4 linked regions of the Arabidopsis thaliana genome follow. The protein of the gene in region 2 purifies or fractionates together with the protein of the main gene of each other region. This does not show direct contact. Each region holds a gene or a part of one and is shown on either strand. Other genes may lie near its edges.

Region 1 (5,791 bases), on a different chromosome or scaffold from region 2:
AGAGAGCCTAGAGGCAGTCGATGTAAATCATATATTTACCGCATCCATATACTGTAAATTCTTGTAGTTGGAATGTTGGATCGTAATATTGTTATCATAAAACAATTATATTTATCGAAATTTCTGAACTGTCAGTTATTATTCTGATGAGGCTCAATCGACTAACCAGAGTAAACCGATATCGATTAGAAAAAGAATTATGTGGCTTACACTAAATTTTATGTAACTTTTTACAGTTTTTTGGTCAGCTTTAATCTGTTTTGAATAGCTTTTCCCCCATTTAACGGATATTTTTGTCATGCTTTCTTTCCTTCTCTTATTTTGGTTGCAAATTAAATTGCATGTTTTAATGATTTCTGTAATTTTGATATGGAGCTAAATGACTCATCACTAACTCAATATGAAGCAAATAAAGAAAAAACTCCCAAGACTTCTCCTTCTTCCTTAAACTCTACCAATATAAGATCGAACCACTTTGAACATGCTCTAGCTAGTTCTCTTCTTTAAACCAGTACCCTTTATATTCATTCTCAATAACTAAAACGTTATAGTGAAAAAAAAAACACAGATAATATCGTCAAACAAATTCTTAAATACCTCACATAATCCTCTCGCTCTCCCACCTAGCTTGACCTTCATATCTCTACATTAGCCAGTAAACTCTGATTATAGAGTTTCTTGCTGAAGAAGAAAGAAAAGTTTTGTGTAACTTAAGAGTCAAGAGATGACAAAGAAGGATATTCTTTACGATACAGTACTTGCTCGTAGTTTTAGCAAAACTGATCAGAAGAGACTTTGCTGTGGAGCTTTCATTGCCTCTCTTCTCTTGGTCCTCACTCTTTGCACTGTCGTTAAACCTTATCTCAGCCCTTTACCAATCGGTAAGTCTCTTACCACGTTTTGCCGAAAAGCCAGATAACGCAAAAACAATCATTTTAACGTGTATCTCTTTCTTTCTTTCTTCAGTGGAGTTACAGTTATCAGTTGGCACTGGTCTAAGGATGCTGAGTATAACAGAATTAACTACCAACACTACAATCTCCAAAGAAGAAGTTATTTCAGGTCAATATACTTCAGAATTTTCTCTACAATTGTCTTGTTATGGTTTTTAGTCATTTTCTGTATAGTATGATACAGTTTGTTCTTTTGATTTTGTCCTGACTGAATCTTCAGAGTGCAATAAAATGGAGAAACCTATCTGTCACTGTAACACACTAGGAAGCAAAGAGTTTTGCGATGTAAGCGGCGACGTAAGAATCCATGGTAAATCCGCAACTGTTCTTGCGGCGGTCACGTTTGCGTTTTCCGGGAATTCCACGTGGTATATGAGACCTTATGCGAGAAAAGACCAAGTTCCTGCCATGAAACGCGTGAGAGAATGGACGGTGAAATTAGTACAAAACGCTAGTTTATCACGCTGCGTTAGGAATCACAGCGTTCCGGCGATTCTTTTCTCTCTCGGAGGCTTCTCGTTGAACAATTTCCATGATTTCACGGACATCGTGATTCCTCTGTACACGACGGCGCGTAGATTCAGCGGTGAAGTTCAGTTCCTCGTGACGAACAAGAATCTTTTGTGGATCAACAAATTTAAGGAATTAGTGAGGAAACTCTCTAATTACGAAGTGATTTACATCGACGAAGAAGACGAAACGCATTGTTTCAGCAGCGTCATCGTTGGTCTCAATCGCCACCGTGATTATGACAAAGAGCTAACGACTGATCCTTCGAATTCGGAGTATTCAATGTCCGATTTCCGGAAATTCCTCAGAGACACATACTCATTGAGAAACTCCGCCGTGACTACGAGGCGGAAGCCACGGATTCTGATTTTGTCTAGGAGCAGATCGCGAGCGTTTGTGAACGCGGGTGAAATCGCTAGAGCGGCGAGACAAATCGGATTTAAAGTCGTGGTGGCGGAAGCAAACACGGAAATCGCGAGTTTCGCAATAACTGTGAACTCCTGTGACGTGATGCTCGGCGTTCACGGCGCGGGGATGACGAACATGGTGTTCTTACCTGATAACGCGATCGTGATTCAGATTCTTCCGATCGGTGGATTCGAGTGGCTTGCAAAGATGGATTTCGAGTATCCGTCGAAGGGCATGAATCTGAGGTATTTGGAGTACAAGATCACGGCGGAGGAGAGCACACTGGTGAAGCAGTACGGACGCGATCACGAGTTCGTTAGAGATCCATTGGCCGTTGCAAAACGCGGGTGGGGAACTTTCAAGTCGGTTTATTTGGTACAGCAGAACGTTAGCGTTGATATAAACCGGTTCAAGCTGGTTCTTGTCAAAGCTCTTGAGCTATTGCATAATCAGTCAGTGTAAATAAGTAACTTTCAAGCATTCGTGTACTGTAATCTTGGGAACGAAATAATTACCAGATCATTTGGTCTAGTTTAGATTTTTCTCAAATTTGTTTAACCGTCCCCTTAACAAACACTCAAGTCTGAAGTCTGAACCAATAACTGGGCCTTTTGGGCTAACTCATAAAAACTCAAAACAGGCCCATTTATCAAACAATAGCGTATACCCTAGGGCTTTTTTCAAATTCTCTATTCTCTCTTTCATTTCCAGAACACTCTTGTCACACTTCCATTTAGGGTTTTCTGCAAATTTCTCCGTTCGAGATCAATTCCGTCGAGATCTCAAGCTCTCTCACTCGTAGTAAAAAAATGGCGGCGGTAGCGGCACCAATGGCTTCGAAGCCCCGTGGATCTAAAGCTGAATCGTTCGTAGACAACAAGCGGAGAGAAGATATCCGATTCGCGAACATCAACTCTGCTCGAGCAGTCTCTGACGCCGTCCGTACTAGTTTGGGACCGAAAGGAATGGACAAGATGATTTCCACGGCGAACGGAGAGGTAATCATTACTAACGATGGAGCTACGATCCTTAACAAGATGGAGGTTTTGCAGCCAGCGGCGAAGATGTTAGTCGAGCTTTCCAAATCTCAAGATTCAGCCGCCGGAGATGGTACCACAACTGTCGTAGTAATCGCCGGTGCGCTTCTCAAGGAGTGTCAATCGCTTCTCACAAACGGGATCCACCCTACTGTCATTTCAGATTCGCTTCACAAGGCGTGTGGTAAGGCGATCGATATTTTGACTGCCATGGCTGTTCCAGTGGAGCTCACTGATAGAGATTCACTTGTGAAATCTGCGAGCACATCGCTTAACAGTAAGGTTGTTAGTCAGTACTCTACATTGCTTGCTCCTTTAGCTGTAGATGCGGTTCTCTCTGTTATAGATCCGGAAAAGCCTGAGATTGTGGATTTGCGTGATATTAAGATTGTTAAGAAGCTTGGTGGGACTGTGGATGATACACATACTGTGAAAGGTTTGGTTTTTGATAAGAAGGTTAGCCGTGCTGCTGGTGGACCGACTCGTGTGGAGAATGCTAAGATTGCTGTGATTCAGTTCCAGATCTCACCTCCTAAGACTGATATCGAGCAGAGTATTGTTGTCTCTGATTATACTCAGATGGATAGGATCTTGAAAGAAGAGAGGAATTACATATTGGGGATGATTAAGAAGATCAAAGCAACTGGTTGCAATGTGTTGTTGATTCAGAAGAGTATTTTGAGGGATGCAGTGACTGATCTATCTCTTCACTATTTGGCCAAAGCTAAGATTATGGTTATTAAGGATGTTGAGAGAGATGAGATTGAATTTGTCACCAAGACATTGAACTGCTTGCCTATCGCCAATATTGAGCATTTCAGAGCTGAGAAGCTTGGCCATGCTGATCTTGTTGAGGAGGCCTCCCTTGGAGATGGAAAGATTTTGAAGATCACTGGTATCAAGGACATGGGGAGAACTACATCTGTTCTAGTTCGTGGCTCCAACCAGCTTGTTCTAGATGAAGCTGAAAGGAGTTTACATGATGCCTTGTGTGTGGTTAGGTGTCTAGTGAGCAAAAGGTTTTTGATTGCAGGAGGTGGTGCACCAGAGATTGAGCTCTCAAGGCAGCTCGGTGCTTGGGCTAAGGTGCTACATGGGATGGAAGGTTACTGTGTGAAGTCTTTTGCTGAAGCTCTCGAAGTTATTCCTTACACACTAGCCGAGAATGCAGGGTTAAACCCTATCGCCATTGTGACTGAACTCAGGAACAAGCATGCTCAAGGGGAAATCAACGCAGGGATCAATGTGAGGAAAGGACAGATCACTAACATCTTGGAGGAAAATGTTGTTCAGCCTCTGCTTGTGAGTACCAGTGCGATCACTTTAGCAACTGAATGCGTTAGGATGATTTTGAAGATTGATGACATCGTAACTGTGAGGTAGTGTGGTAGTTTCTTTCAAAACAGGTCCCAGAACACTTCTATTGCTCTATCTAAGCTTTTGTTTCGTTTTTTTCATGTGTTGTGCTTGCACAATGGTTTTGAACTTAGACTCCCTTTTCTTGCAACATGTGCTATTGCAGTTAAGTGGCTTTATTTGTGGTTTAGTGCGATTGTATTTCTTTCTAGTGACTTGTGATATCAAGATCTCTCAGTTTTTTTTGTTTCATATGTTGATTTAGTTTTGGTTATGAAAGTCCAAATGGTAGGAGTAGAAACAGAACTTTAATTACTGGGACTCAAATATTTGATGCATGATGGGTCACAAAATCAGTTGCCTATCTGGTTAATCATAGACTGGGTCACAAATGTTATAGATTCGTTGTATGAAAGATTAAGACAGTACACAGTTGCATGAACATGAGTTCTCCAGGTCATTGGTCTGTCTCCAACCAGACCGGATCAGAACATTTGCTTCTCTATTGTCAACTTTGATTTAATGTTACCATCTTTTCATTTTTATTCATAAATAAATTGCAACCCAATTTTGATTACAACTCAAAAGTAAACGACTAGGATATCAATTGTATGAGAGACCCACTTGAGGAGCCTGTGTGTTGGCCAAGTTCTTGTATGTGTATGTACAGAGAAGTAATGCGTTGTGTTTGCAGCACTTTTACACTTCAGATTCAGAATTACTCTTCTTGTGTTGTGCCTCAAGTAGATGTTTGGTCAGTGACTCTGGATCTTGTTGACTCTCTTCAAGAGCCAGTTTTCTTTCTTCGTTTTTGCCCCAAAGAACTAAGTAGAGCCCTAGCATTATAAACACTGCACCAACAATCCTGCAAAGCCAAAAAGATTCTATTAGATCGAGTAATCGAGAGAAACAAAACCCGATACATCCCGTTTTCAATGCGCTTACCCTCCCGAGTATAACTGATCACCAAGAATAAGAAACGCCATCGCAGCAACAAGAAGTGTCTGGAGAGGCTGGAAAACAGCGACAAAAACTGGACCGCTTTTGTAGATACACCATGTTTGAAGATAAACCACCAACCCTGACGCTATTATTCCCTGTAAACACGGCCAAAGGAACATTCATTTAGCTAATTTCCATTGATTCAGATCAAGGAAAAGGAAGAGAGAGAGACAGAGGGAGGGAGCTTACGGCGTATAGGATGGTGAAGAGCTCTTCCCAAGAGACGATGATCCAATTATTTAGATCAGTTTCCACAAAGAGAGCAATAACCAGAAACTGAATCAGACCAAAGAAACATGTGAAGGATGTTAAAGTGAGCTTCGCCGGGTATTGCTTTAGAACAGGAGCTTGAAGAACCATCCAACCAGCCCATGACAGACAATGTCCCATAAGGTATAACCATCCGAGTGTCAAGCTGTGCGAGTTGTCAGATCCGACCACCTCTTCCTTTTGCATGTTAAGGCCCTGGTCAAATATCGGAAATCCTCTGTACAATGTGATCACGGTGGCTCCACCGATGCTCAC
Region 2 (6,575 bases):
AAGTTATTACTCCCCTAACCTCATTTCCTCTTCCTGTAATATATATTGATCTTGTATTTAAAAACATAGAAAGAAGTTAGATTTTGACAGTTTGAAAACTGAGGAAAGTGTTGAGAAAGAGAAGAAAAACGTTTTTCAAGAGATAGTTTCAAGAAATCAACTACAAACAGGCATTTATCAAAGGTGACAAGTCATTGATCTTCGTTCGTGATTTCATCCGACCTTTTGATTACCAAAGTTCCTGAATTTTTTTATTACTAAACTGGGTTAAGGTATGTGTTTCGGTTTAAATTTCTTACATATACAAATGTGAAATTAAGTTTGTAACCGAAATTCTGTTTCTCATTCAAAAGACGTGATTGCATAAATTATCATCATTTATTTGCTTTGCAAACAAGAAATATTAATTTTGTGGGGATAGATTCATGTTAATGTGGGAAGACAGAGAAATATCGACGTCAAATCCTTAGACCCATATGTCTCAATAACTTCCAAAACGTTATTCAATTCCGATATAAAATTGGGACCATAAACTGATCATAGAATCATTCATCTCTATATATAAACACAAAAAGGTTCAACAAAAGATAATTCTATATAACCAAAGAAAAAAAACTCTCTTCCAAAAATGGCAATTAGGGTTTCCCACAAGTCTTTCCTCGTCGCACTTCTTCTCATACTCTTCATTTCCTCTCCTACTCAAGGTAAATTTATAGCTAATATATATATACACACAAGCGCGCTCACCTCACGAGTTTCTAGCTATATCAAGTATAATTTGAATGAATCTTCTTCTTGTTTTTTGGTTGAATATCAAAATATATTACCCAATAATGAGTTCTTGATATATAAACATTTTGATTTTTTAGCACGAAGCTTACGAGAAGTAGTAAGGAATAGAACGCTATTGGTTGTGGAGAAGAGTCAAGAGAGTCGGAAAATAAGGCACGAAGGTGGAGGAAGTGATGTTGATGGATTGATGGATATGGATTATAATTCTGCGAACAAGAAAAGACCGATACACAATCGCTAATAAACACACATGAACTTATCGAATTCTTGTGAGATATCCTGAGATCCAAAGATATCCCGAGATTTTATCTTTTACTAAACATAAATTATAAGAAGTGAGAATGTATTTTATATAAGAAAAGAAGTGAGAATGTAAACTATTATTATTTATAGGAACATATAAATATAAACGACTTTGTATGCATGTGTACAGTATTATCTCGAGGGAAAACAGTTCTATACAATAATCATAGCTTGTGTGTGCTAGCTTTATGTATGGATTGCATCATGGTTTTCTGTTTGTGAAATAAAACTCTATAATATATTATGTGTATATAGAAACCCACAAATATCTTCTTTAACTCTGTTGTAGTATTAGTTCCAATAAAATAAAATTACACCTCAAAAGAGTATTTGCTGATTTTATATATCGAATTCAAACCTACGGAAGCTCCCATCCCATGAAGGTGTTGTGGATATTTGATATCAAAATATGCATATACCAAAATACAATCAAATAGATTATAATTTAAAGTAATAGGACTTTGGAAAAACTAGGCAACATACCAAATAATATATGGGATCAAAGTTTTCGACAAATATCGATTGGTTTTCAGTCTCCAAACTTCTTTCATTTAGAAGGATAGAACTTAAATTCATTAGTGTCTTAATTTTGTAGTTCCACAAACAATAATCCTTGTCTTAACATATAAATTAGTCTTATAAGTCAGTAAAATCATGGTGAAATTTCTCTACTGCAAGTGGAAGGATTCAAAAGAAAGAAAAATAAATCCGAGCAATTGATGGATTTTCTGTTACTGTTAGAGAGTTGCCGAGGCTCGAGCGATAATGGGCCTTAAAAAACTTACTCAAATGGGCCATATGGACCTTAGATTTTCATTTATTACAAATGGATCCTATAGTTTCGTTCATAACATATTACCCAACAGCTATTTGGGTATGACCCTACAGGCGACAGGTAGGTTTATTCAATATTTACCTAATAGACCCAATAGATACTTTTATTACATATGTACACCAAAAGTCTTACACTATTTCGTTAAAAGTCCCAATAAATAAAACGTTATAATTAGGCCCAAATAGTCTGAGCTAAGCTTTTCTTGTTCAAGGGGTTGGGGTTTCGACGCTAACATTCTCTCTCTCAGTGAACCTTTAGAAGTTAAATCTGTTTCATCACCGGAAAGTTTCACTAACTCTTCTTCTCTCTCTCGGAGTATTGATTCCCGGCGTTTAGCAATGGCAAGTCTCCGATTTCACAGATCTGATTTTCAACTCTCTCTCTCTCTTTTCTCTTCCGTTCGAATTTTGGTTTGTCAAATTCGATGTCGTGATTTGATTGCAGGAAGAAAGTAGACAACTCGAATCGTCGATTGATCGGCTGCTGAACGAAGAGAAACAGATGAGGCTCGCAGAAAATGTCGCCGGAACTAGAAAAGCAGCTACCGAGATTCTTAAGCTTTGTTTCGAAGCTAAGGATTGGAAACTTCTCAACGAACAGATTTTGAATCTCTCGAAGAAACGTGGTCAGCTTAAGCAGGTCACACTACTTTCTATCGATTTAGCTTTTGAAACCTGCTTGTGGTAGTTTAAGGTTTTCGATTACTTGGAACGGTTTCTACTGAGTTCTGAATCTTACTGAGAAATTGAATGAAGAACTGAGTGAGATATTGAAAGTGGTTAGGTCTCTTGATTTGCAGGCTGTACAATCCATGGTGCAACAAGCAATGCAGTATATTGATCAGACACTAGACATAGAAACTCGGATTGAGCTTATTAAGACTCTAAACAATGTAGCTGCTGGAAAGGTGCGGATTAGAGTTGGCTATTGTTGTTGTTGTTGTAGTTATATTTGCTTGAATCTTGATCACTCCGTGCAAGTTTTTTTCTTGATGAATATGTGTGTGTGAGCATGTGTAGATATATGTCGAAATCGAGAGAGCTCGTTTGACCAAGATGCTTGCTAAGATTAAGGAAGAACAAGGTTTGATTGCTGAAGCTGCGGATCTCATGCAAGAAGTTGCTGTAAGCTTTTCTTCCTCTACTTTCCAACTTTCGTGGAAATCGTTTTTTATTTATTTTATAGTTTATCAATGTGCATTGATTGTGATTATGAATTATAGGTGGAGACATTTGGTGCTATGGCAAAAACTGAGAAAATTGCTTTCATTCTTGAACAAGTAAGACTTTCTGTTATCTTTTCATATTTCTTAAGCTTTGTGCTTTGTGCTTTGTTCTTGTTTGTATGTTGTGATTCTAATTATTGGTGTGTAAACTTCTGAAGGTCCGCTTGTGTTTGGATCAAAAAGATTTTGTCCGTGCACAAATTTTATCTAGGAAGATCAACCCAAGAGTGTTTGATGCAGATACCACGAAGGAGAAAAAGAAGCCTAAGGAAGGTGAAAACATGGTAGAGGAGGCTCCGGCTGATATACCTACATTGTTGGTGCTAAAACGGATTTACTATGAGCTAATGATTCGGTAAGTCCTTGATTTGGTTTAATACATTCTTCGCCAGTTATTGGTGTCAAAATATTTGAATATTATTCTCCTCTGAATTTTGATTTCCCTTTACTTCTGTGATCTTTATAGTAAAAATATAATGTGCTGATTCTGTTGTGTAGGTATTATTCTCACAACAATGAGTACATTGAGATATGCCGTAGCTACAAGGCGATATATGATATCCCTTCTGTAAAGGAAAACCCAGAACAATGGATTCCAGTAAGTCTCGTATTGTTGTTTGGATGATCTTGTGGTAGTCTACGTTCTGTAATTAGCTTGGATTAACTTTTCTCCCTTGATCCTCTAAATATAGGTCCTGAGAAAGATTTGCTGGTTTTTGGCCTTGGCACCACATGATCCAATGCAATCGAGCCTACTCAATGCAACCTTGGAAGATAAAAAGTTATCAGAGATTCCTGATTTCAAGTAATTCTCTTTATCTTGATAAAAATTTGGGTTTTCACTACTCTTCCCCTCGTTCCCATCTGAAACAGATTCTCAATCCCTATGTTTATATTCTGTTGCAGGATGCTTCTAAAACAGATTGTTACAATGGAGGTGATTCAGTGGACATCTCTCTGGAATAAATACAAGGACGAGTTTGAGAATGAGAAAAACATGATTGGAGGCTCTTTGGGTGACAAAGCTGGTGAAGATCTCAAACTAAGAATAATCGAACACGTAAAGACTCTTTGAGCTCTAATCTATCTTTACCTCTTTGATTGCATCAATTGTTACTGAAGAGTCTTAACTTTACAAATTCTTCACATCTTCTGCAGAATATTCTCGTTGTCTCAAAGTACTACTCAAGGATTACCTTTAAGAGACTTGCAGAACTTTTATGCCTAACCACTGAGGTAAATATAGTTTCAAAATACTCTTAAGTGTACCAGTACATGTTTAAATCTCTTCTTACCGTTTCATTATATTTCAGGAAGCAGAGAAGCATCTATCTGAAATGGTTGTGTCCAAAGCCTTGATAGCAAAAATCGACAGACCATCAGGAATAATCTGCTTCCAGATTGTTAAAGACAGCAACGAAATCCTCAACTCGTGGGCAACAAACTTGGAGAAGCTTTTGGATCTTGTTGAAAAGAGTTGTCACCAAATTCACAAAGAAACAATGGTTCATAAAGTTGCACTAAGAGCTTGAGAACCCGGTCTAGCCACACACATCGGTGGAAAGAATCTTTCAGGCTCTCGTTCTAACATAATCATTTGAGTTTTCTTTCTCTGCTTGGTTCGAACACATTTTTTTTGTGTTCTTTAGGAGACCTTGCAAGATTATATACAAAACTCTCTTTTTTTTCCTTTCTCCATGTGGTCTTTTTAATGTTTGTTACAATGAAACGAAATTATAATGCAAAAATATAATAAATTAAGAAAAAAAGCATGAGAGGATGAAAGCAGAACAATACAAACAACCTAAACCCTATAATATTTGGAAAAATAACTCTATAACATATAATCATTTTCCTGTTTTCTATTACTCTATAGTGAAACAAATAAAATGAAGCAAGTCATCAGGAGGATGGACTATTATTGTAGTTATTACTAGTCTTGTCTGATGGCCATTGTATATCCTGGAGATAACCGGTTTCGCTAGCTGATTCTGGTGGCGGCTGAACAGCAGCCGGGGAAAACAGAGGACGAGAATGAGATGATGATGACGACGTAGATTGCATCATTGAACCTCCAGTGTGACCGAAACGCAACGGAAACGACATTTGATCGTATAAATCCAAAGATTGTTGATGATGTTGCTGAAACTGTTGTTGTTGACGAGCCATTTCAGAGTAACTCAAGTTGTATGATTGCATCAACGGCTGCGAATGAACGCTTTGATTCGAAGCAGGTCTTATGGGCAAAAGGGTAGTCGTTGAACCCGAGTTCCTTGACTGGGTCGGTCTTTGAGCAGCGGTTTGGTGCACAGGTTGTGCTTCGGTTGAAGCAGGTCTAACGAGTTTGACGTTTTCAGGGAAGTTGAGTTTGGCTTTGTTGCCTCTAAACCGAAGTGCAGCTTCGTCGTAAGCTCTTGCTGCTGATTCAGCATTGTCGAACGTACCGAGCCAAACTCTAGCTGCTTTAAATGGATCTCGAATCTCAGCCGCCCACTTTCCCCATGGTCTTTGTCTAACTCCTCTGTATCTTCGCCGAGGTTGGTCCCCACTAAACGACGACGTTTCGCTACTAGCAGTTGCCGTAGTTGTATACTCGTATGTTGGGCCCGGACCTGACATGTTACTCGAAGCTTCTCTCACTGCAAATAAACAAACAAACATGTAAAATTTCACACTTTTGTTGTCACTCGTGAATTAACACTTTCTTACATAAGAAAAAGAATCGATAATATTAATGTCTCCAATAAAGATATTATAAAGTTTTTTTTTTAAGAGCGAGTATGAGAAAGTGATGAGGCAAATGGGTGACAAAAGGAATGAACAAGTAGAAAAAAAAAGGAAGTGGAAAACGACTCTTGATGCAATTGGAGGGAGATAAATTCTTTTGGCATATCATCATCATCATCATCATTTTCTTAATTAAATATCCAACCTTTTTACAACAATTCTAAAGTATATGTCTTAAGATAATCAAGTACAGTTTCGTTATTATATTTATTTTTGTCAACACTTCGAAATATTTATTTACATCTTTACGCTAATTACTATTTTTTATTCCTCATTTTTCTTTATATTTAAATTATTATAAAGTATATCTAACTTCGCCATATTTTAGAAAACGATAAAAGAAAAGAATAAAAAAACTAAATATAAGACATGTTGCTTTGTAGATTGCGTGAGGACAACAAAAGTGCAACTGTATTTAGATTTTGTGTTACAAACATTTGATGTGACTCATACCTTGATGTATATACTACATCATAAAATTATTGAAAACATTTATCAAATAGAATGATCTTATAATTTAAATGTTTTATGTTTTGTGGATACACAACCGAAATATGTAAAATTTTATCAAAATGGTGTGTACTAATGTGGTTTAAATCCGAAACAGGGTACGTGTGTTTATAGAGGACAAAA
Region 3 (9,152 bases), on a different chromosome or scaffold from region 2:
TATTCCCTCTCATTTATTTGATTTCCCACATAACCATATCTCTTAATTTTCTTTGATATCAAACAAAAAAAAGGCTTCTGTTTTATTTTATTACTTGTCGGTACAACATAAAGAAGAGAAAGTAAAATACGATGAGAAGAGTTAGTTGGTCTACTGTTTTGATTGTGGTTGTGATGGTGTCGTTGTTTTTCGTAGAACACGTGGTGGTTCCGGCTGCGGCGGGGAGGGTTCTTACTGAAAAATCGGGAGATGGAAGTGCGACTATGACGGTGGAGAAGATGAAATCGACGGTGGATTCTTGGTTTCAGCGTTTGGCGTCGGGTCCAAGTCCAAGAGGTCGCGGCCATTAAATTTTCCTTTTTTACTTTTTTTTTCCTGGCCGGAGGAGATTAATTAATCTCGATATACCCCATATGTATACCAGAACAAACGGTGAAAACTGTATTCCATTCATTTATTTCATTATTTGTTTTTTTTTTCTTTAGGCAAAGTTCATATAGTTAGTGACAGAAACTAAAACCCTCAATATACATGTACATGATTTTTGCTTTTGCTGGTTGCTAATTTTAATAAGATTTTATACTTCTGGTTTATGTTTGGGAACGAACTTATTCAAAAAAAAAAAAAAAAGATACACCGAGGAAACAAGTGAGTCGTGCACGCCATCTATGTAAAATTGTAAATATGTAGCCGGGCTAGCTGGGTCACCCTTTCAACATTTTAATAATATTACATAGTTTTGGCCAAATCCGGAAACAACGAGAGGAGCCTTTGCATGTCACAAATTGAAGTTGGAGTGCGTACAAACCAAGAACTTGAAGTTCCAGGGCAGCAAACCAAAGAGCCCATAATCAATAAGCCAAGTTTATAGAAACGTCGAACGAGTTGATTTGAAGGAGTTGCAGGTTAAGAGAATTGGATTTGGAAACTTATCCAGCTTTTAGAATGCGATATTAAAGTAGTGCACAAGAAGTTCCTATATATTGCAATGAAGCTATTTTTTCTTTTAAAAGGAGAGATTGTGAACCATTTCCTGGGAACAGACGGGAATAAACTAAAAAACTTTTGACAACCGTAGTGAAAGTATTCAAAGGCTCTCTCTCTTTCTTCAAATGCTTGCAACTTTGGATTTACTCCTCTCTGTAGTCTGGATTTTCCTTCAATATGACGAAACCTTCTAATATGGGCGACAACGGAATGTACCTGTGACCCAAAAAGAAGCAGAGTTTTTTTAGATTCCAATATGTAAAACAGAGTTTTATTTCGAGTAGGATAATGTAACAAGGGGATTAGAGGAACAACATACTTCTCGGTTGCGAGTTCAGCTCTCTCCCCAGCAGCAAGGAGAACAGGTGTTGAGTGCGTTTGGAACCCAGTGATTGTCTTAGGTCGGCCTGCCTGTCCAACCACATCAACCGCTTGTCCTACCCGCACTGGCACCGAGATGGGCTTCAGGCTCTGATCCACCGTCAGCATCATCCTTGGCTACACACTCAAACCGTATTGTGTTAGTAGATAAACTTAGTTCATTAAAAAAAAAGTCATCAGACAGAAAATTGCACTCACCTGCATCGCCAAAACAAGGAAGTAGAGCACATAGTGATATTTCCCCAGTATAATGGATTTCATGTCAAGGCATGCATGCAACAATGTCACTATACCAGCAAGTGCGGTTCTAGGTACAAAATACAACACCCAAGTTTAGGATTCACAAGGTGGAGCTTTGAAAGCAAAGTATACATAAAATATATGTTATAACTTACGGCGATAGCAAGAGCCGTTCGGAGTGGAAAGGATTGAGAGTTAAGAGACCCTTTCCCATATGCACAAACCCTTGAGCGATGCGCACCTGCATTGTGACTTAAGACAATGAGAACAAGCCTATCATAAGTAGAAACCGTGTTTATTCCATGAAAACTTAAAAAGAAATCATAAAACGTTACACAGAAAAGAAGGCTGGCATCCTTGTAATAATAGCTGGAGAGATTTCTAAGCATGCCAGCTATCCTTGCATTGTTGGTTCCAGCGCCTATCAATCCAAGGGAGATAATTGCTGCCTGTAGGAATCAGATGAAACATCAGTCCAACGCTGCATAGCAAGTCAAAGAAATAACTACTCTACCTCAACCATGAGTGGCGAAAAGATAACTCACCATTGCAACTTCTGAATCTGTGTCATGGCTTAGTCTGCTCAAAGTGTCCATAACAGTCACCTGGAATTATAAAAAAGTTAGAGAGTAACAACAGTATTCTTAAGCAGAAAAGTAACTGCACGCCGCCGAAAACTAGATATGCAAAAATAATACTCACCTTTGGGTTTGATATACATAGGAGACCAAGAGCCAAAGGCACTGCACGTCGAATGTTCTGCTCTCCATACTGTAGTACGCGCTCCAAAGAACGGATCTCCATATCCAGACCCAATTCCTCAGACATAGCAACCATAGCTAATCCAATCACAGCTGGACCCTGGTGGATATCACCTTTCACCAGATGCTCTCCACACTGAGCCAGAAGGTCTTGGACCTGAATAGTTTGAATAGTTTGAAGAGTCAGACTAAACTAGAAAGAAGTGAATAATCTAATTCAACCACTAGCACACTTGATCAGATACCTTAAGGACATTCCCGGTTCCAGCATATGCACATGAAAGAAGTGTCATATCACAATACTTTCTGATTTTCTCATTGAACGTCTTTGAAACTTCTGCAGTAGCCTCCACACTTTCCTGCTCGATATTGGAACAAGTTAAAACTAATAATCGGGGAAATAACGATCAAGTACACGAACAAGAAAAATAATCAAGTATGACTGGCTGCCCACCTGTTTGCCAAGGTACAAAAGACCAAGTCCAAGAGGCAAGAAACGAGTGAGGGCTTCACCCAGCTCTGCCTCGCTCCGATCCATCAAAGCAAATATAATAGATTGTGCAACCTCTTCGTTACACGAACCAACATAAATCATCCCCAAACTAAGTGCAGCAAATGCAATCACATCGAGAGGTGCGTTGGCATCATTTAGTATTGGAGACAACCTGATTTTTATCTATCCAAACAGTGAGCATGTTATTGTCTCGTCAACAGAACATTCAACTTAGCACCATAGGTAAGAAGATAACATGTATTCACCTGATCATTTTGGGAACCCGCATATGCAATCCCGAGACCCATAATAGCACCAATTCGGACAGATGAATCCTCATTGTCAATATAACCTGAAAGAAGGGCAAATGCCTGAGAAAGAGAGCTGAGTGAGAATGAATGGCGAAAAATTGTGACACAGAGGTTCCCATATTAAAAAAAAAAAAAAACTCACAGGGTCACAATCATTCTTAATGCCACAATTAACAATCCCAACTCCCAGCAGAGCTCCAGCAACGACGGGATTATCGTTACTATGGAAATATTTGTCGAGATGACCTAGTCCGGTCTCCACATCCCACAATTGAATCATACCCTAGAATTGTTGTTAAAACAAGTTCGTGTTACAATTTTACTTCCAAAATAAAAACATAGCTAATCAATTTATCAAGTAAGATGAGGTATACCAGACTAGCAACTGCACTGGTCTTTCCATGTTCTTTATTTTTGAAGAGCCAGTTTCCAGCCGATCCACTGGTTGAGTCAGATGGTACTGTCATTAATTTGTCCTGCAATAAGGAAATATATGAAAAGGGCAGCTTCCAAAGTTCTTCTTATGTTGCACATTAAGATCCTGTAATCATACCTGGCCGAATCCAGCATTTACAAATGCATTCACAAAAGTCGCAGATAGATTTTGCCTAGCTGAGTCCACACTTGGACCAGAGCTAGCCCTACCATCAAGCAAGTGAGCCTGCAAATTTCAGTGGACAGGTAAGAGGCACTTCCATAAACATATCCTGTAACCAAATAAACCAGTAACAGACATAATATTCAATTAAACTGATATACCTTGTAGATGTCTTCAGGCGTCTTGGCCTCCATGACCTCAATATCCCTAGCAAGCGTCAGATATCCTTCACTCAACTTAGAGTTGTTAACAATATCCTGTAGCGCTTCTTTGTCTTCGTCATTTGCAACCATCTCTTGGTCAAGCTCAAAGGTCATACCCTGCATGGAGAAATAACAAGAGAAAAATAAATATAAGAAAATAAAAAATCAGGTACTGCACCTTTATGCTAATTTAAATTATTAAGAACTTACATGACGTGCAATCATGTAGCAGAACTGTTTCTTTTTTACCAGATCGGTACATGAGGTAAATACTTGCTTCACATACTGCACAAAGGAAAAATATATATCATAAGAAAAATACATAAGTTAAAGAAGAGCTTTTCCCAGCTGCTCCCATGTTGCAGAAAGAGGATATTAAGTTTTATATGAAGATTAGAACCATACCTGCATGTTATCAAGAAATAATGCAATTTGCAGCGCGTTTGGATATTCTGCAAACTTAATGTAGATCATGTAAGCAATATCTAGAACCAACATGTCATCTGGTCCTGGAAGATACCTGGAAAAAAACATACAATATCAACGGGACTGATAATGTGCAAGATAACCAAGCAAAGCTCATGAGAGCTTGTCTCATATGAAAATAACATAATTAAGGGTGAAACGCCAGTCGAATGAATAAGCTAAACATATTGAAATTACTTTGCTGCACTCGTGAGATAGTTGCACGTCCTCCTGAAATTTGTATTGTCAACATGCTCAAGTAAGAGATCAAGATCCTCAACATCCATTAAAAGGTCAACAGCTTCGGTTTCGGCATTATGCTGCAAAGAACAAAAGGGAATCCTTCAAAAATGTGAACAAAACAAGAGGCGCAAATTTCACGCCTATCAATGAAACTTATATTAATATACAATGGACCCCTTGTTATTACAAGAAAAGTAAGAATGACAAGGATCTCACCTTCATGTGAAAAGAAACAATTTGCTGCACAAGATCCATTAAGTCTTCAATAGAGGACTCTTCACCCTGATATAACAAAAAGAATGAGCATTATAACCATATTCAGTAACGAGCCCATTGTCATAATATTCATTAACAAACCATAATATCCATGACGTTGCCAGAATATGAGTGAAACTCCTCGAGCTAAAGAACATTGCCAAAGACCAAATTGTTTACTAACCTGACGTATTGTATACTCTTTTGCAATCTCTCCAGCCAAATTCCTGACATACTCGTGACCCCACGATCCGATGTCACTCTCTGATCCATTCAACCTATAGTTTAAGCTTTCCTGAAAGAGTATTGCATAACAAAGGATCAGCAACAAATAGCTTAAGTCAAATTCTACCAAGAACCACAAAACACAAATCTGGTAAGGCATATCATAAGAGGAAAACAAAAGGGAATCTAGTTAAATGAATGTGAAGCAAATAGCAATAGGCAAGAAACTCCTACAACAGTAGCAAGAAAGCATACCCTTTCACCTTCAGCAGACATGGTCAGTGCCAGGACAGAAAGTATATCAGCCAACATTTTCTGCAAAAACGAGTGCGATCTTATAATCCAGACTCAGTAGAACGACTAAGACGGTGTTGATGAGAAATGACTTAAAATGTTTGAAATCGTACTTTGAGATCAGACTCTGCCATTTTTGCATGAAATTCTTTAAGAACTCCATAATGAGGGCGGAGAAACTTGAGGGGTTTTGGAACTGATGTCATGGAGCTTGTTGAGTCACGAATTTCCTTCCTACATACCAAAAGAGATCGATCAAGATTAGACTATGAAAACAGTGAAAGCACTAAAAGCAGCAAAAGAAGTGTCATAAGCCCATTAAAGAAACTCCAATAGAAAATTATCAGAATATTTGCATCTAATCAAATCAAGGATGGGTTTAAGAGATACAAAAACTACCTCATGCTTTCAAGAGCAATCTTCTGTAACTCAGGATTGGGGTCCTGAACTCTCTCAACATAGAGCTCCAGATTCTGCTTTAGTTGCAAGTCCTCTTCAGACTACAATAACATCATATGCAAATTGAGTCAGCTGCCAATCAAACCAGCTAAAACCATAGCCATAGTACAAAAGATTCCTATTAATTTAACTCCATGTGACTTAAACCCTAACAAGAATTGTATCTTCCCAGAACGAGTTATAATGTGGATTTAACCAACTTCTTAACCTCGCTTTCTAAATAGCAATGCGACATTCACAATATATCAGCTAAACCGTACATCTCGGAAAATCTACAGCTTAATCGTGAGTTTTTTCCGATCTCCCTGGATTCTTTCTAACTCAGCTAAGCACGATTCCAACTAATAATCGAAATCGATATAAAGAAAACTCACCAGATCCTCTTCCTTTTTATCATCTTTCTTCTTGGAATCCTTAGAAGGAATCTTCGTCGTAGCTTCGTCCCGCTTCGCACCACCGCCAACACTGTTCGGATCCGGAACTGGAGCCATTGTAAGTCAGACTATCACCTGATCAAATCAACGAATCCAAACAATGAGTATCGAAATTCGTAAAACTCGGAAGAATCGAGCAGCTTCTATCTTATGAGCTCTCGCGTAAACCCTAAGTCTCTCTGGAATGGCTCGTTAGAGAAGAACTATGCTTTTCTTCAGGAACTGTAGCAAAAAGGTTCAACTGTAAAAAATAAATACTATCAGATAAAAAAAAGTACTTATACGGAAGAAGATTACCCCTCGATCAAGAATTCCATTGTGGGCTCAGCCCATAATAAATTGGGCTATTCATTGGGCCATAGTATTCTACTATGGTCTCTATATAAAACACCTTGTCTTTGGCAAACATCTCTATATATAATCAACACTTTAAAATTTATTTTATTTGGGCGATATAGCCAATCACAAAATAAAGGACTCCAAAAACATCTATTTTATCGGATTTACATTTGATCAATTTAAATTCGAAGCAACTAATTCGATCGGATTTAAATTCGAACAACATAATAATAGCAACATTTATATAAATACGTTACATGTCTTAGTCGACATGTTCTTTTATGGTAAAGTTAGCAATATTAGTCGAACTCAAACATATACCTTCACATAATGAAAGAGGAAATAACATTTAATTGTTTTTATAATTAATAATATAAATGGGAGAATCTGAATTACTTGAGCGATAATAAAAGAAGAAAAGGAAAAGAAATGGAGAAGGGAAGAGGCAAGATGGCAAAGCTGTGATTTAAAACACCGTCACCTCCCCGTCAACGGAGACAAACAAAGATCGTGTTTTCTCGAACCTTCCACGAGATATACTAAGCCAAAGAAGAAGAAGAGACCTGAGACGAACAAGAAATCCAGAAATTACCAATTCCTTTTTTTTGTTTAATCGAATTCAGGAAAAGTGAAGAAACGAAAGAGAGAAGACAAAGAAGAAGAAGGTGAGATGGGAGTTGATTATTACAAGGTTTTACAGGTTGATAGAAGCGCTAACGACGATGACCTTAAGAAAGCTTATAGAAAACTCGCTATGAAATGGCATCCTGATAAGAACCCTAACAACAAAAAAGACGCTGAGGCTAAGTTCAAGCAGATCTCTGAGGCCTACGATGTATGTGTTTGATTCCTCCACTGCTTTTGCTTTATTGAAATCGTCCCTAAAGTTTTGATTTTTATTTCTATTGAGAAATTTTCATTCCCTTGATACTGTCGGTGGTCACGAACTTGTTTCTGATTTTTGATATGAGATGCAATTAGTCTGATTTCACGATTTGATGTTGTGTTGGTTCGTGGGGTTTTTAGATTTCGTGTCCCTGAGTAATTCGAATCATAGTATATAGTAAAAGATGATTGCTTTATATTTGGGCAAGCTAGGTTATCTCCAAAGCTCTTAATTTGTGCTTTCTTTGCTGATCTTCTGAGTCATGATTTATCCGTTTTCTTAACTCTGTGATTGATTATTGAGAACCTCTTAGGCACTCTGTACTTGTCAATGTGTAGCTTAGGATTATGAGGAACATACTAAGATTGTTTGATTTGACTCAGGCTTTTATGAGGCTAATGTTGGTTTTTGTTGTGAGATGATTAGGTTCTTAGCGATCCTCAAAAGAGAGCTGTATATGATCAATACGGTGAGGAAGGGTTAAAAGGGAATGTGCCACCTCCCAATGCTGCTACTAGTGGAGCATCCTACTTCTCAACAGGAGATGGATCTTCGTCTTTCAGATTCAACCCGAGAAGTGCAGATGATATATTCGCTGAGTTTTTCGGGTTCTCGACCCCGTTTGGTGGCGGTGGTGGTGGCACTGGAGGGCAGAGATTCGCTAGCCGCATGTTTGGTGATGATATGTATGCCTCGTTTGGTGAAGGAGCAGGTGGAGGAGGAGCTATGCATCATCATCACCATCATCATCATCACGCTGCAGCTAGGAAAGTGGCTCCTATCGAGAACAAGTTGCCTTGTAGCCTTGAAGATCTCTACAAAGGAACCACCAAGAAGATGAAGATCTCCAGGGAGATTGTAGATGTCAGCGGGTAAGTGATTGAACTCAGATACCATTTCGATCACACTTATAACATTTTGTTATTAGGCTTATCTACTAGTCAACCTAGAGCATGGTTTTAGAAATATACAACCTCCCAAGTCCCAAGTATGATGAACATATATGAAACAAAGTTTCAAGCTTTTAGATTCTGCAACATTCCCCAGCTTCCATATGGTTAATTGTTGATTTGAGCTGACCCTAGTTGTTGTCTTAACAATATCTAATATCTGTCTTCTGGTAAATGCAGTAAGGCAATGCAAGTGGAAGAGATTCTAACGATTGGAGTGAAACCCGGGTGGAAGAAAGGCACAAAGATCACATTCCCAGAGAAAGGCAATGAGCATCCAGGTGTGATTCCAGCGGATCTAGTCTTCATCATTGACGAGAAACCCCATCCAGTGTTTACCCGTGAGGGCAACGACCTGATTGTCACACAGAAAGTCTCACTAGCTGATGCCTTAACAGGCTACACCGCAAACATAGCGACCCTTGATGGCCGTACACTTACAATCCCGATCACAAATGTGATCCATCCAGAGTATGAAGAGGTGGTTCCTAAAGAGGGAATGCCACTCCAGAAAGATCAGACAAAGAAAGGGAACTTAAGGATCAAGTTCAATATCAAGTTTCCAGCGAGATTAACTGCGGAACAGAAAGCTGGGTTTAAGAAGCTTATTGGGTGATGATTAAAGCAT
Region 4 (7,810 bases), on a different chromosome or scaffold from region 2:
TGTGTTTTTCTGCAAGTTAGTGTTTTTTTATCTGCTTATGGGTTGAATTTCACCAGTAATTTGCCTTGTTTAGACTGTGCAATTGGAGTTTGAGGCTTTGTCATTTTAAAATATTAACTGGGCTCTTGTATATAATCGCTGCAGATACAGCAGATTTGTTTCAGGACTTGTCTTTAGGTTCAGATGCAAATGAAGTTCCTATGAACTTTACTAAGGTACTTAATTACTACTTCTTTTTGAAAATTTAAAGTTTTTGGAACTTAAATTGTGTTGTGTCGAAGGATCTTTAACTACAAACTGTTCTGTGGAGAGGTCTTGCTGCTCATTTAATGTGAATTTGATATACTGTGAGTTTTTTTTTTGTTAACTGACTGTTTTCTGAGAAGGGTTCTTTTCAGCATCCGTATGGTCATGCACCTTATGGTGCATCTTCTCATGGAAGTGAAAGAAGGCCAAACATGAATGCTGGCAATCTGCTAAATGGTGGAGACTCGATTGGTTCATACCCGTGGGGTTACATCCCAGCAAACTATCCTTCTGGTGGCTACCCTGATCCGAGGTTTGGTTATGACCGCAACAGCAATCACAGTTCCTTTTCACATCTCATGGTATGTTGGTTACTTCACATGACCTCTCTGCCTCTTTTCTGTCTTCATATAGTCAAGAGAATGTGTGTTTTGTTCTCTTCGTCATCTCTGCTGGGACTTGGGATTTTTTTTTTGTCTAATTACTGGCTACAACTGTTTTATTTAACAGAATCCACACAGCTCACAAGAAGTACCAAGTTTTGACCAATTGGGATATAATGATCATTTGTATTCCAACCATGGATTGTATGGACTTTACGGGAATGTAATTGACTCTGGTCATGCATATGGAACTTTTGGTTATGATTCCTGGAAACTTGGGCGAGGATGGTATCCCGTTGATGGTTATAGAAAGACCAGAAGCTTCAATCATGGGCGTGGTTACAGTGATGAGAAAGCAGATAGGCTTAATGAGCTATGTCGAGGACCAAGGAGTAGTGATTTCAAGAATCCACAAGTTCTTAACTCTTCAATGCTAGATGCAATGAAGCAAGACGTTTCAGCAGTAGATCTCCAGCGCTACAATGGGGAGAATTTCCCTGAATCATTTGTGAAAGCAAAATTCTTTGTGATCAAGTCATACAGCGAAGATGATGTTCATAACTGTATTAAGTATGGTGCATGGTCGAGCACACCAACTGGCAACAAGAAGTTGAATGCTGCATATTATGAAGCCAAAGAAAACTCCCAAGAATGCCCTGTGTATCTTCTGTTCTCGGTCAGTATGAGGTTACTTCACGTCTTGTGCAATATCCTTTCAGATTTACATTAAGTAACTCACTGTAATCGGTTTTATCTACAGGTGAATGCAAGTGGGCAATTTGTTGGTCTTGCGGAGATGGTAGGCCCTGTTGATTTCAACAAGACAATGGAGTATTGGCAGCAAGATAAATGGATTGGTTGTTTCCCTGTGAAGTGGCATATCATCAAAGACATACCAAACAGTCTCTTAAGACACATTACCCTGGCGAATAACGAGAACAAGCCTGTCACTAATAGCAGAGACACTCAAGAGGTCCGTTGAACTTCCCCTAAACCCTTTCTTGGACATGTTTGAAGCCTAATTGAATTCTAATAAATAATGATTATGGCTGTTAGTCAGGCTTTTAAACTGTACGGTGATGGTTTTGGTACAGGTGAATCTGGAGCATGGGACCAAGATCATAAAGATCTTCAAGGAGTATATGAGCAAGACATGTATACTTGATGATTACAAGTTCTATGAGACAAGGCAGAAGATCATCAGAGACAAGAAGATCAAGCAAAAGAAACAGGTACAATTCCTTAAACCCTGCTGCATCTAAAGCACATTAACCACCCCTCTTGATACAGTCTCTGGGATTGTTTCATTTTGATTGTTTTGTTATATTAGGCCCTTGATGGAGCTTCGGGGGAAACAATTAACTTGAGTTGAAAGATGGAATCAATGCAAGGAAAGAAGAAGATGACTTAATTAAAAGAACTTAGTTTTGAATTATGTTTTTTCTTCAGGGTTGGGATTTCTAAAAACCTAATACACATCTTTAATCTGTGTGTTTTCTCTGCTTATCTAAACAAAACTTACATTGTCTTTTGTTCCTCTTAAGGGGACGCACATCTGATAAAACAAAAACTCAGGCTTTCCTTCAAAGTTCATATCATGTTATTTTCAAGTTATTTCTCTTTTAGTCCCTAAACTTTCATATAATAAGACTCTCATCCGTAAATGTCAAAAATCTCACATTTTGGCCCACATCACCATAAAAGTTAAAACGACACCGTTTAGCACAAAAACCAGAAGGAATGGTGTTCTCTATTCGTCCCTAAACTTTCATATAATACAACTTTCACCCCTAAAGATTTAAGATCTCAATTTTTGGCCCCCATCCCCTTAAAATTTAAAACGACACCGTTGTGAACTCCCATTTTAAAACCTCGAAAGTTTTCTAGGGCAATCTCGGCCACTTTTACTCACAGAAAACCTTCTCTCTAAACTTCTTCGAAAATCTCACAGAGCTTCTTCTTCTTCGCTTTTAGGGTTTTTGCTCTATTGTTTCGAGTGACCCAACTTCGAAGCTTATAGATCGTTACCTTAGAAAATGGTGGGTATGTCGATGCAGCCATATGGTATTCAATCGATGCTTAAAGAAGGTTACAGGCATCTCTCTGGTCTCGACGAAGCCGTCATTAAGAACATTGAAGCTTGCAAGGAGCTCTCCACCATTACTCGCACCTCTCTCGGTCCCAATGGTTCGTAATGTTTCTCTGATTGGGATTTGATCTAATACTGAAATGATGAATCTCGTTTTCTCCGTTTCGTTTTACTTTTACTTGAGTGTTGTAAGTAGGATCTCGCTTGTGTATAGTTTAAGCAAGCTTGATCTGTTACTGTAAAGGTGAAGTCTTTTTCTAGGGATTCAGATTCGGATTAGAACTGAGTTCTTCTGTTTATAATGTTTCAGGAATGAATAAAATGGTTATCAATCATTTGGACAAACTGTTTGTCACAAATGACGCTGCTACTATAGTGAATGAGCTCGAGATTCAGCACCCGGCTGCTAAACTTCTGGTTTTAGCTGCTAAGGCTCAGCAAGAAGAAATCGGAGATGGAGCTAATCTGACAATCTCCTTTGCTGGTGAACTTCTTCAAAACGCTGAGGAGCTTATCAGGATGGGACTTCATCCGAGTGAGATCATTAGTGGATATACTAAAGCTGTCAGCAAGGTTGGTGAATACCTGAATTACTGTTTTGTGCTTTTCAATTTGTTTGTCTTGAGTATTTGACGAATGCTATTGGATTTTGATTATGCAGGCTGTTGAAATACTGGAACAACTGGTTGAGACTGGTTCTGAGACCATGGATGTACGTAACAAGGATGAAGTTATTTCTCGGATGAGAGCAGCTGTTGCAAGCAAGCAGTTTGGGCAAGAGGAAATAATTTGCTCTTTAGTTACTGACGTAAGATATTCCTTGCTATCTATTTGTTTCCTGTTTCGTTGTTCAGATTGTTATTTATTCAAGTTTATTGCAGATTTAGATTTTACTTGATGGGTTCATATTATTTCTAGGCATGTATTCAAGTCTGCCCAAAGAATCCAACGAATTTCAATGTGGATAATGTTCGTGTTTCCAAGCTTTTGGGAGGAGGCTTGCACAATTCTTGCATAGTCCGTGGTATGGTCTTGAAAAGTGATGCTGTTGGTAGCATTAAGCGAATGGAGAAAGCGAAGGTGAGATCTCTTTCTTTTGTTTATGCTTTTGACAAAGTTTTTTTTGTCTGAATTGATCAATGTTTGGGTCCCCTATGAAATATAGCTTTGTGGGTTTGTCTTTTCTGTTTTTGATAGCTTAATGTCTCTAAATCAATTTGTTATGCTTTCTTCAGGTTGCTGTATTTGCTGGTGGCGTTGATACCACTGCAACAGAGACCAAAGGAACTGTCCTCATTCATAGTGCTGAGCAGGTTAGATTTGTTACTGTCTTTCTAAAATTTCAAAATTACGATTATGGCTTCCTCAAAGATGGTTGTGTATTTGTAATCGTTATTGTGACAAATTTCTCTTTTTATATTGGATTTGTAGCTAGAGAACTATGCAAAGACAGAGGAAGCTAAAGTTGAGGAGTTGATTAAAGCAGTTGCGGAATCAGGAGCCAAAGTCATTGTTAGTGGAGGATCAATTGGAGAAATGGCATTGCATTTCTGTGAGCGCTACAAGTATGTGTAGACCATATCATGTTATACTCGTCTTAGCTATTGTTATTGTCTGCATTCTGATACCCCATTTTTTCTTGGCAGGATAATGGTATTGAAAATCAGCTCAAAGTTTGAACTGAGGCGTTTTTGCCGTACAGCGGGGGCTGTCGCCCATGTAAGTGTTATTAATTGGCTATCTGAATGAGTATCTAAGGGTGGTTTTATCCTAGCTTTTAATCCTTTAATTATCAAACAGTTGAAGCTTAGCCGGCCAAGCCCTGAAGATCTTGGATATGTTGATTCTATATCGGTTGAGGAAATTGGTGGTGTGACAGTAAGTACTCCGAAGTCAATTCCAATATTTTTGGTTAATTATTTTTGTCTTTCATTAATCATAGACAATTCTCGGTCTTCTTTTAGGTCACGATTGCAAGAAACGAGGAAGGTGGTAACTCCATCTCCACTGTGGTCTTGCGTGGAAGCACAGATAGCATTTTGGACGACCTTGAGAGAGCTGTTGATGATGGAGTTAACACATACAAGGTAATATCTAGCTTCATTTGTACCATCTATATCGTATAATTCATTAATTTGTGACTGTTATTACTTCAATTTTATTTTCAGGCCATGTGCAGAGACAGCCGTATTGTTCCCGGGGCTGCAGCGACTGAAATAGAGTTGGCTCAAAGGTTGAAGGAATACGCCAATGCAGAAATAGGGTAACTTTCTTTTACTTCATTTTTTCAAAAATTAAACATGTGAGGCTAGCTTTTAAAGCAAAACTGTCTATGGTTTGGGGACTGAACTTAGGATTCGCTTTTGAAATTTCAGGTTGGACAAATATGCCATCACCAAATACGCTGAGAGTTTTGAGTTTGTACCCAAGACCCTTGCAGATAATGCTGGCCTCAATGCGATGGAAATCATAGCCGCTCTGTACACTGGACATGGATCTGGAAACACAAAACTAGGCATTGACTTAGAGGAAGGTGCTTGTAAAGATGTTTCAGAGACAAAAGTATGGGATCTTTTTGCAACCAAGTAAGTTTCAGACTGTCTTTTTGCCATCAAATATTTCTATCAGACGTCTCTATACTTGCTTAGCAGTTGTTCTTGAACATATAAAAACTGGAGTAGAATTTTCTGACTGGTTACAAAGATTACCATTCACTTTAATTGATAACTAAGACGCTTAAGTCTCTGTGCAGGTTATTTGCCCTTAAATATGCTTCAGATGCTGCATGCACTGTACTTCGTGTAGACCAGGTATGCACAAACTGACTTGATTTAATCTTTGGTGAACGGAGCAATTTTTTATTATATTGTAAAGTGTTGATTCATCACATGAAGTAAAAAGATATTGTTCGGTGAATGCATTATCTTCCAGGATTAAGTCCCTTGTTCGTGAAAACTCTTAGATTCAATATTCAGTTCCACTGATTGATCTCATCTACTAAAACATGCATGTTTATACTCAAAATTTATGTAAAATGTGCAGATTATAATGGCGAAACCAGCAGGTGGACCAAGGAGAGATGCAGCTCAAGCTGCAGGTGCTGGTGCGGAGGAAGACTAAGCCGGAGAACAAATACCTCGTAGTGAAACTCTCTTCTTTTGTAACCTTCTGTTCCTGAAAGTCTGAGAAAATTTTGGTATGTCTCAGTTTAAGATTTGTGATCTTTGTAACGCACCACCAACTTAAGTGTTTTGCCTTCTTTTTCTGTTTTGCCTTGTTTTGGCTCGTCTCAACACTCAGATTTTCCGGTTTAGCTAGTGAAATTATTACTAGGATTTTTGGCTTAACTCTGTATTAATGTCAATTTGGTTTCTATTTGAATCGACTTTTGAACAAGTGACAAAATCATTCGGGGAAAAGAAAATGATCCACACATTGACAAAAGAACAAGAGAACCTAACTAGAAATTGAACCTATGTAAATATGTCTGGTTAACAGTTGTTTCGACTTTTGAACAAGTGACAAATTCATTAGGAAAAAGAAAACAAACAAACTAGTATTTGAACATGATCCACACATTGACAAAAGAACAAGAGAACTAAGCTAGAATTTGAACCTATGTAAGTTCTAAGCTTTTTAATGTTCATCCCTTAGACTTTTTAAGTCGGAACAAGATGAGGAGGCATCATATCATCCTGGAGATACATCCACATGAAAGAAGCAAACCCTGCAACTGCAATAGAGAAGACACTCAATCCCAATTTTAACACACCCTTGCTCCGTCCCAGACGTGGGTCTAGTTCAGTCTCCACTGTCTTAAGTTTGGCCTCAGAATCCAAATCTGTTTTTGGTTTCTCACAGATATCTTCTGTTGTGTTGGTTGGAGTTGTAGTACCAGAGGTATCATATATTGATGATGATGACGAGGTTTCACTGTACTGTAGCAGCTGCTGTCTGTTATCTAGTAACTCAGTGAATGGATCTTGTGCGAAACCATGCCTGTGATGTTTTGAACAAATGTCTCCTGATTGTCTCTTCTTGGTGTTTCGTCTTGAACTTCTTGAGCGGTTGGTCCTAGAGCACACAGATTCATTAAACTCGGAGCTTCTGTTCCGCTGATGGAACCAAACTGACTCAATGTTGCCATTTTCAACACCAGAACATTGAATCTGAAATCAAAGAAGCACCACAATGAAACTTCACTGAAAAAGGACACACAAGAGACAGCTTTAAAGTTTGTAGTCTTTTTTACCTGATCTCCAATTCTTGGACTCTCGATAACAAAACCAGTTTCTTGGTTATTGTCTCCGAAAGTCACCAGAGGAGAGCCTGAGACAAGAGTTCTTCCACTGGCTACACCAGAAAACAAAACATCATACTCGTCTTGATCGTTTACATAACTCCTATCTTGTCTACTATAGACACTCCCATCATGTTCTCGCAGACTTGATGTAGACTTGACTGATCCGCTGAGCGAGTTTCGGGGCTTGCAGTTCTCTGCATCAAACATCGGATCTGCCTCACATATTAATCTCTCTGCTTGTCTCATGGTTTCATGAGCTGCCATTTTGACATAATGCTGATCTTTTTGGTATTTCTCCATCTCTTGATATATAAGCTCTAACTCAGAAGAAATACTCTTGGGATTCAGATTCTTCATCAGAAAGTTGAGCATCTGTATAGCTAAAAGCCGTTTCTGAGAATCTCCCTCAACAACACCTAAATCCAGAATCCTCAGACCCGACTTCACAAAAAGCCTTGCATATGCCTCGACAGTAAAAGGATTGTGCTTGGAAAGTGCCATAACAAGTGCCATATGAGACTTAGCTTCACTTGAAGTAGCTTCAAGAGCAACAGCTAAGCTTTGACAAACATTATTAACCATTTCACTAGAAGCAGATCGCCAATTATCGCAATCCACAAGTGACTTCAAGCAAAGAGCAGATCCCAAAGCAAGATGCTGTTGATGTTGCGAATCTATAAGAGAATCAGAGAGTGGCTTGCAAAGAGAATGAATCACATTCGTTTTCTTATCTTCTGGTGTTGTAGGATCAATTCCATATCTAGCCATAGCAGCTACTGCCCTTGAGCA

The links.
Region 1: the proteins of RPN5B (region 2) and AT3G18190 fractionate together in Arabidopsis thaliana (co-fractionation; one large-scale study listed by BioGRID). This does not show direct contact.
Region 3: the proteins of RPN5B (region 2) and RPN1B fractionate together in Arabidopsis thaliana (co-fractionation; one large-scale study listed by BioGRID). This does not show direct contact.
Region 4: the proteins of RPN5B (region 2) and AT3G03960 fractionate together in Arabidopsis thaliana (co-fractionation; one large-scale study listed by BioGRID). This does not show direct contact.

The regions. Positions count from the first base shown.
Region 1 is NC_003074.8:6,229,546-6,235,336, forward strand, and holds AT3G18190 (TCP-1/cpn60 chaperonin family protein), read left to right. Parts: upstream 1-2,562; 5' UTR 2,563-2,680; coding exon 2,681-4,291; 3' UTR 4,292-4,638; downstream 4,639-5,791. Other genes in the region: AT3G18170 (Glycosyltransferase family 61 protein), read left to right, coding at 1-2; AT3G18180 (Glycosyltransferase family 61 protein), read left to right, coding at 725-881, 967-1,062, 1,174-2,333; UMAMIT4 (nodulin MtN21 /EamA-like transporter family protein), read right to left, coding at 4,964-5,129, 5,210-5,361, 5,456-5,791. UniProt on the Arabidopsis thaliana protein: Molecular chaperone; assists the folding of proteins upon ATP hydrolysis. Known to play a role, in vitro, in the folding of actin and tubulin.
Region 2 is NC_003076.8:25,892,139-25,898,713, reverse strand, and holds RPN5B (regulatory particle non-ATPase subunit 5B), read left to right. Parts: upstream 1-2,127; 5' UTR 2,128-2,268; coding exon 2,269-2,271; coding exon of another isoform or gene 2,272-2,275; exon of another isoform or gene 2,276-2,374; coding exon 2,375-2,569; intron 2,570-2,729; coding exon 2,730-2,837; intron 2,838-2,949; coding exon 2,950-3,054; intron 3,055-3,152; coding exon 3,153-3,209; intron 3,210-3,313; coding exon 3,314-3,510; intron 3,511-3,653; coding exon 3,654-3,753; intron 3,754-3,847; coding exon 3,848-3,960; intron 3,961-4,061; coding exon 4,062-4,215; intron 4,216-4,313; coding exon 4,314-4,391; intron 4,392-4,468; coding exon 4,469-4,687; 3' UTR 4,688-4,934; downstream 4,935-6,575. Other genes in the region: RGF9 (root meristem growth factor), read left to right, coding at 629-704, 870-1,033; ABR1 (Integrase-type DNA-binding superfamily protein), read right to left, coding at 5,058-5,794. UniProt on the Arabidopsis thaliana protein: Acts as a regulatory subunit of the 26 proteasome which is involved in the ATP-dependent degradation of ubiquitinated proteins. Acts redundantly with RPN5A.
Region 3 is NC_003075.7:14,065,952-14,075,103, forward strand, and holds RPN1B (26S proteasome regulatory subunit S2 1B), read right to left. Parts: upstream 6,632-9,152; 5' UTR 6,407-6,631; coding exon 6,290-6,406; intron 5,957-6,289; coding exon 5,856-5,956; intron 5,691-5,855; coding exon 5,570-5,690; intron 5,478-5,569; coding exon 5,418-5,477; intron 5,233-5,417; coding exon 5,122-5,232; intron 4,965-5,121; coding exon 4,899-4,964; intron 4,760-4,898; coding exon 4,638-4,759; intron 4,495-4,637; coding exon 4,380-4,494; intron 4,260-4,379; coding exon 4,185-4,259; intron 4,092-4,184; coding exon 3,933-4,091; intron 3,835-3,932; coding exon 3,727-3,834; intron 3,650-3,726; coding exon 3,548-3,649; intron 3,457-3,547; coding exon 3,316-3,456; intron 3,234-3,315; coding exon 3,129-3,233; intron 3,046-3,128; coding exon 2,824-3,045; intron 2,729-2,823; coding exon 2,615-2,728; intron 2,527-2,614; coding exon 2,311-2,526; intron 2,214-2,310; coding exon 2,154-2,213; intron 2,058-2,153; coding exon 1,944-2,057; intron 1,850-1,943; and 9 more. Other genes in the region: AT4G28460 (uncharacterized protein), read left to right, coding at 132-350; AT4G28480 (DNAJ heat shock family protein), read left to right, coding at 7,359-7,523, 8,001-8,446, 8,705-9,140. UniProt on the Arabidopsis thaliana protein: Acts as a regulatory subunit of the 26 proteasome which is involved in the ATP-dependent degradation of ubiquitinated proteins.
Region 4 is NC_003074.8:1,021,767-1,029,576, forward strand, and holds AT3G03960 (TCP-1/cpn60 chaperonin family protein), read left to right. Parts: upstream 1-2,377; 5' UTR 2,378-2,665; coding exon 2,666-2,816; intron 2,817-3,028; coding exon 3,029-3,291; intron 3,292-3,379; coding exon 3,380-3,526; intron 3,527-3,636; coding exon 3,637-3,798; intron 3,799-3,953; coding exon 3,954-4,031; intron 4,032-4,149; coding exon 4,150-4,283; intron 4,284-4,364; coding exon 4,365-4,437; intron 4,438-4,518; coding exon 4,519-4,596; intron 4,597-4,682; coding exon 4,683-4,805; intron 4,806-4,886; coding exon 4,887-4,981; intron 4,982-5,093; coding exon 5,094-5,303; intron 5,304-5,470; coding exon 5,471-5,528; intron 5,529-5,760; coding exon 5,761-5,838; 3' UTR 5,839-6,125; downstream 6,126-7,810. Other genes in the region: ECT1 (evolutionarily conserved C-terminal region 1), read left to right, coding at 145-215, 387-608, 757-1,305, 1,390-1,602, 1,724-1,861, 1,960-2,001; AT3G03970 (ARM repeat superfamily protein), read right to left, coding at 6,378-6,887, 6,971-7,810. UniProt on the Arabidopsis thaliana protein: Molecular chaperone; assists the folding of proteins upon ATP hydrolysis. Known to play a role, in vitro, in the folding of actin and tubulin. Contributes to stem cell maintenance through its impact on transcription factors trafficking through plasmodesmata.